Ovis aries: one gene and its partner. The protein of the gene in region 1 purifies or fractionates together with the protein of each later gene. This does not show direct contact. Links are inferred from orthologs where the notes say so. Each region holds a gene or a part of one and is shown on either strand. Other genes may lie near its edges.

Region 1 (3,653 bases):
TGTTCATAGATTTTAAGATTTCTGTGAGCCTTAATCATGCTTTGAATTCCTGAAACTCCACTTAAATAAGGGCATACAATACAAATACTGAACTTCTTAAATAAGATGAATAATCTAGATCTAAAATAAAGCTTCATTTCTAAATAAGTCCAATGCATGATGATACTCACCTCTTCACCTTCCTGGAATTATTTCTGGAACCGTCCTATAACAAAAGAAAATGGAAAATAGTTTCAGATGATTAAGTCAAGTATCCTGCTTTTCTTGGCCATCCTTTCTCCTGTACTTCTAGATGGTTCTCTGACCACATTTCTCTGTCCTTACGATTAACAACCTCATCAATTTATATGCTCTCAGTAAGCCCTGCTTTCAGTGTACTTGTCTACATCAATGTTCTCATCAATTATAGCAAAGACAGATATGATAAGAAGGGCAAAAAACACAAATTGTTGGGGCCCTGAGATTCAGTGGTTAAGATTCTGCACTTCTATTCCAAAACAGGGGGCACGGATTTGATCTCTGGTCAGGAAACTAAGACCCCATATGCTGTGCAGCACAACAGGGGAAAAAAAAAAAACAAACACACACAGAACTGCAGGGCATGTTCTACAGGAGCACGGATTCTCCGGGTATAGAATATGGCTTCCCAGAAGATCCTCTGGCCAGCAGATCTCAGCAAGAAACTATGCATTGTAATTACTCACAGTGCTAGGGAAGAAAACAGATGGGGCCCCAGGATCTAGTTTAAAACATTTTTAGGACAAATCAAGAATTTAACATTTAGCCAAAAAAGAGGAGTCTTTGACATATCTCTCAAAAATTAATATAGCTCTTCTTCAAGCATATTCACTTTTATTCTGGTAGGGGTCGTGGTGTTTTTTTGTTGTTTTTTTTTTTTTTTTAACAATTTTAGTATGTTGACACAGAGTGCAAACATCAGACTGAGATTTCTTGAGTTCCTATCACCCGCCAGCCTCAGTTTTGCAAAGTGACTGCATTATGATTAACTCAGACATTCTGTAAATGGAAAATATTTTCTCTAATCTCTTCTATTACAAACAATTTTGCAAAGAACATGCTTATACATGTATCTCTGTGCACACATACATGTGTTTCTCTAGAAGACATATCTAGGAGTAGAACTGGCAATACAGCTGGCACACCCTGAACTCCGCTACATGCTGCCAAGTTGCTCTCCAAGACAGTCAATGCCGATTTATACATCAGCCAGCAACATATACTATTACTGTAACAGCACGTGATAGGTACAAAAGGAACAGAGCTGTGTCAACACTTAGAAGAGCCAGACTCAAATTTTGCCAATCAGATGGTTTAAAATGGTATCTAGCTATTGTTTTCATTTGCATTTTCCTGATTATTATGAAGTGAAGCATCTTTTCATATGTCTGTTGCCCCCTTGGGTATCTCTTTTCTAAACTGTCTGTTCAGCTCTTTTGTACATTTTTTCTTTTTAACTGAGTTGCTTATCTTTTTCTTATTGATTTGTTTGTAGTTTAAAAAAATATTTATTTAATTCACTATGCCAGGTCTTCATTGCAGTATGCAGGATCTCGTTCCCTGACCAGGGATGGAACCCGGGCCCCTTGCATTGAGAGCATGGAGTCTTAGCCACTGCACCACCAGGGATGTCTTTCTAGTTGTTTATAAATATAATACTTCGGTAGCACTAAACATCACCACAAAAACTATCTGATTTTTAAGTTCAGTTTTTAAGTTTAGCTCTGATTTATTAAAACAGGAGCAGAAATCTATGAGTGAACCTTCTATATACCATCCAATTGATAGAAGAAAAGAAGCCAGATTATAGGAATACATGAAAAATACAAAGGTGAGTAGGGAGAGAAAGATGGGAGTGAAGAGCAGAAAAATTTTGCATGTGAGGAATGGGAGTTAATAAAGAAAGGAGAGAGAAAAGGCTGCAAAATATTTTGATTTAATAAGAGACCATAAAAAAAATTGAAAAATTATGACAGGTACTGGAGGTCACTTTTAAATGGGGAAACACAAAGGAAAATAAGATTAACTAGGAAAGTTAGAGACTAATACTATACCCCTGGAGACACGGAAGAGCTGTTTAATGTGACACCGTTATTATCACTTCTTTCTGATGCAGTTGTTGAGAAGCCATTTTCAGATGGTGATTCAGAACTACTAAAAGAAAAGAGGACAGCTATTAGTTTATGAATTCTGCCTATTTTTTGTTGATCAGTAATTGCTTTTTCTAAATTCTCCTTCAACATTAAACATTTTCACAAATATCTGCTCTTTCAGGCTGCAATCTGAATTTGTCTGTCACACCTGTTTGTCCATACTTACGATGTACTCACTGCTGGAGAGCTTCTTTCAACATCCCCACATGCGGTATTGAAACAATTAGAGGACTGGTCAGCTCTCTGAAAGATTTAAAAGTACAACTAAATGACTTCTTAGAGTGGCGTAGTCTCTGTGAACCAACTCCCACATTTATTTCCCCACACTGACCACATTCACAGCCATAAATACAGGATTAATACATTTTTATGGATGTTTGATCTGAATTTAAAAAACATTGAGCTGTCATGAGAACTGTGATCCTTCTGAAGCGTCACGGCCACAGGGCTCATTGGTGGGACACAGAATGAAGGAATGCTTTTGCTATGTGACTGGCTGTCTTGGCATCACCTAAATATCATTTAACTTCAAATCAACTTCAGAGAGAATTTTAAAATATAGAAATCAAACCCCAAGGCAGTACATACCATTGTTTCTGATTCTATCTTTTCATAAGCCAGTTTGGCAGCCAACTGTTTTGCCTCCTGTTTAGTGGAACCCACACCACTACCATATTCTTCTTGTCCAATTTTGCATATATAATAAAACCTAGGGGAAATGATAGAGTATTAAACCAAATACCGAAAAACAGTAAATGTAACTCATGTGTTTTCAGAAAAAAAAACCATATTAACAAAGGGCTAAATATAACACCAATTTAATAGATAGATTAATAGTTCATATCTTACTTAATTTAAAATTTCAACAAGGGCTTCCCTGCTGGCATTGTGGTAAAGAATTTGCCTGCCAATGCAGGAGAAACACGGGTTCAATCCCTAATCTGGGAAGATCCTACATGCTGTGGAGCTACCAAGCCCATGTGCCACAACTACTGAGTCTGTTCTCTAGAGTCCTGCAGCCGCAGCTACTGAAGCCCACGCATCCTGGAGTCCGTACTCTGCAACTGGAGAAGCCACCGCAATGAGCATGACAACTAGAATGTAGCCTCCGCTTGCTGCAACTAGAGAAAGCCCACGCAGTAATGAAGACCCAGCACAGCCAAAAATAACTAAATAAATAAAAACTATATTTAAAAAGGCAAGATTTAATATATATATATATATTTTTTTTTTTCAATAAGATGGCTAATCAGTTTACCAGAATAACCAGGATTGGCTAATAGCCCAGCTTCCATTCTCTAGGGAACTTCTAACTCTTTGCTGCTTCATTGAAAGATGTGGCATTAAGGTACCAAGTGGTGATTTTTTAAAATTCCCCAAAAGTCAAAAGACATGGAGGCAGAGAAAGAAGAAAGAGACCTAATGAATTTTTCAGAGATGTTCAACTGGCATGATAAAACCCGTAGAGGCTTCTACAGGAGA
Region 2 (3,653 bases), on another chromosome or scaffold:
GCTTTTCCTTGGGATCAGATTATAGAAGCAACCACTGTTCCCAGAGTCATAGCAGTCTTCTTAACCAGACTTTCTTCTTACAGGTTTCTCTACAGCGAGTTAATGAAATACAACCCCCAGACGGCGAAGGATAGTATATTTGAACCTGCTAAAGGAGGAGAAAAGCTTCAGATAAAAAAGAGCGTGTCATTCCATCTCTATATCAGGTCTGTACAGTCTCTGTTGTCACCAGAGCCGGCCCGCCGGCTTTCTGGGGCTGGGTGTCTGAATGGTCTCCACGTCCATAATTCAGAGCTTGTTCAGTGGGCAATGCTTGACTCTTGCTTGAGGTCCACACCCCAGTGTGGAATGACTCACACTTCTACCCACTCCAGTAGCCTGTGTAGGCTGCAGAAAAAAAAAAAAAAAGCCTCGTTTCTGCCACATGGAGCTGTTCTTAAGCCCCAGGCAGCTGAAGAGACCCATGCGCACAGGCGGGTGTTAACAGACGCCCCTGTCTTGCAGCACGGCCCCGTGTGGGGATGGTGCCCTCTTTGATAAGTCGTGCAGCGACCGAGCCGTGGAGAGCACAGACTCCCGCCACTACCCTGTCTTCGAGAATCCCAAACAAGGCAAGCTCCGCACCAAGGTAGAGAACGGTGAGTGGCACGTCCTCCATCACCCATCGAAAGGCTCTGCAAAGCCCCAGGCCCGTCGCAGGGCCAGGGCACAGCTGCAGGGTTTCTGCCATCATGGGTGGGATACCAGGGTCTTGTCTCCAGAGGGAGGGAAGATGTAGGTCGGGGAAGATCTATGGGAAGATTGGGACTCCGTTTTGCATTGGTCGGCTGGGTGGATCTGCAGTCACATAGGAGGCAGCAGTGCCCATCTAGAGCCCAGAGGAGAGAGATGGCTGCAAATAAAAGTCTGGGAATTATCCTCCTGCGGTTGATCCTTATGGCCATGGAAATGGATGGGATCACCTCAGGGAAGGTTGGAGAAAATGGAAAGAAAGCGAGGCAGAACAAGCCTGAGGCGTTGACAGGACTCCGCGCCCGCTTCCCCGCCTGCCTTGCTGGCTGCTAGTTCTGCACCTTGTCTGCCAGCTCCTCCTGCTCTACCGTCCTCCCGTGTCTCCTCACCGTCTCCTCACGTCCACTCTGTTCCCTTCAGGCCAGCCTTCTGCAGTCATCAGAGTGGCCCTCAAACAGAGGTCGTGTCGCTTCCCTCCTCAGAACCCTGAAGTCTAAACACAGAGCTCCCATATGATCCACCAGTTCACTCCTAGGAACATCCCCAAGAGAAATGAAAACATGTCCACACAAAAACTAACACAGACCGGCTACCCTCTCTCTCGGCGTTGCCACTCTTGGGGCTGAGGAGGCCGCAGGCTGCCGCGTCGTTGCTGCATTTGCTGCGCTGGCACTGCGCCTTACAGCCCTGAAGAGTCTGCTTTTTTCCTCTCCTTTTTTCCCCCTGCAGTCTCCCATTATGGAGACCCAGGGAGAAAACACTAATACAGAACATTCATAGCAGCAATGTTCATAACAGCCCAAAAGTAGAGACAACCCCAGTGACTGGTGAGTGGGCAAGCAAAATGAAGTATATCCATAAAACGGGGTATCGTTTGATACATGCCGCAGCACGAGGGAACCGAGGGAACAGTGTGGAGAAGGGAAAGCAGCCGGTCACGAAAGACTTTGTGTTACGTGGCTCCCACATTTTCATTTACTTGAAACGTCTAGAATAGGAAAATCCATAAAGAAGGAAAGTAAGTCGGGCCAGCTGGGCCAGCGGTGGAAAGGGCTGGAGGGAAATGGGGCGTGACTGCTAAGGGATAGGAGGCTTCCTTGGAGGGTGATGAAATGTTCTCACATTGGTTGTGGTGATGGCTGCACAAGTCTGTGAATACACTAAAAATTATTATATACTCTAAACGGGTGGACTGTATCTCATTGAAGTTCAGGAAGAACCAAAAGCCCACCACCCTGTCATGGCCTCCCGCTACACGGAAGCAAGCCCTGCCACTTCGGCCATCCTGGTTCTTCGTCAGGTCCCTCCACAGCTAAACCCTCTGCTGCCTCAGGGCCTTTGCTTTTGCTGAACTCTGTGTCTGAAACACTCTTTCTCAGCTGTTTCTTCTCTTCCTTCGTGTCTCAGCCCCCCGACAGTCCTGTCCCAGGAGATGCCCTGACCTGTCCATTATAGCTCCCTCAAACCATCTACAATCATTACGTGTGTATTGGCTGACTTGTTTAGTGTCCCCTTTCTGCTCCCTCACTCCCATAAACCCGCTAGGAGCGCAAGGATCTGATTTGGTTTTGCTCACTGTTGCTTCCCGGCACCAAGCCTAGTGCCCAGCACAAAGTAGCTGCTGTGAGATATTCAAAGAACGAATGAGTGCGAAGCCTCTGGCCCAAGTCTAAGGAGCAGAAAATGCCATGCCGGGGAGGGGCCTGGTCCAGCGGCCCTTGCAGGTCTAACCCAAGTCTCTCATCCAGGGGAAGGCACGATCCCAGTGGAGTCCAGTGACATTGTGCCCACGTGGGACGGCATTCGGCTGGGGGAGAGACTCCGCACCATGTCCTGCAGCGACAAAATCCTGCGCTGGAATGTGCTGGGCCTGCAGGGGGCACTGTTGACCCACTTCCTGCAGCCTGTGTATCTCAAATCCGTCACTCTGGGTAAGGACCTGTCTTGGAAGCTGAAACCGGACTGTCATCCCGGTTCCCAGATCCCAGCAAACTGCACACTTCATTGCCAGGTGTTAACATGATGTCTCCCCTTTTCAAAGTGTGCTCGATTCGGTGGTTTAGTGATTGATTCTGAGTGTCCCGTCTGCTGTGATGGGAAAATTGGTTTAGGCAGCAGTCTCAGTAACAATATGCCAGCCAAGTCTTTCAAGGTGAGTTAGAGAAACACAGCAGCTTAAAACTGCAGTGTCTTAGTGTCCTTGCCATCTCAGCACTTGGCCTTACCTGGAACCTTATATATTGTGCTTAACTGATGATCCCTTTGTATCCTGGGCAGCCGCAGTCAGCAGGTGCTCCCTGCCTAGGGAGCTGAGGCTCTGTCTGTGCCCTCACCCTCCCCACATGCCTCTGTTGCTTCATGGCACTGGGGATAATCAGATGTGTGCGTTTCTTTTTGTACCCAGGTTACCTGTTCAGCCAGGGGCACCTGACCCGTGCCATTTGCTGTCGTGTGACAAGAGATGGAAGTGCATTTGAGGATGGACTCCGACATCCCTTTATTGTCAACCACCCCAAGGTGCGATAACCCAATCCATTTTTCTCTTGGCGTTTTCTCCTTTTCAAGTAGTCCTGTCAGCAGAGCAGAAATGTACAGTGTGGGCAAGGGGAGCCTTAGTTGGTTTCCCTCAAACTTAGCCTTCCCTCCTTTGGGGGCTTCCCCGATGGCTAAGATAGGAAAGAACCTGCCTGTAAAGCAAGAGACCTGGGCTTGATCCCTGGGTTGGGAAGATCCCCTGGAGGAGGAAATGCAACCCACTCCAGTATTCTTGCCTGGAGAATCTCATGGACAGAGGAGCCTGGCAGGCTGCAGTCCATGGGGTCACAAAGAGTTGGATATGACTAAGCGATTAACACTTTCACTTTTTTCCTTCTTTTAGTTTGGAATTCATTTGAATTGAGGTGGGGTTAGTATATCTCAGT

The links. Proteins that work in one complex are often made in the same cells at the same time.
Region 2: the proteins of EIF2AK2 (region 1) and ADAR purify together in Homo sapiens (affinity purification with mass spectrometry; 3 studies listed by BioGRID and IntAct, with this or other methods). This does not show direct contact. The link is inferred for Ovis aries from reciprocal best matches to the Homo sapiens genes EIF2AK2 and ADAR.

The regions. Positions count from the first base shown.
Region 1 is NC_056056.1:86,926,176-86,929,828, reverse strand, and holds part of EIF2AK2 (interferon-induced, double-stranded RNA-activated protein kinase), read right to left. Parts: intron 2,881-3,653; coding exon 2,760-2,880; intron 2,415-2,759; coding exon 2,338-2,414; intron 2,173-2,337; coding exon 2,073-2,172; intron 206-2,072; coding exon 171-205; intron 1-170.
Region 2 is NC_056054.1:104,824,229-104,827,881, reverse strand, and holds part of ADAR (double-stranded RNA-specific adenosine deaminase), read left to right. Parts: intron 1-83; coding exon 84-206; intron 207-504; coding exon 505-638; intron 639-2,480; coding exon 2,481-2,663; intron 2,664-3,136; coding exon 3,137-3,249; intron 3,250-3,653. UniProt on the Homo sapiens protein: Catalyzes the hydrolytic deamination of adenosine to inosine in double-stranded RNA (dsRNA) referred to as A-to-I RNA editing.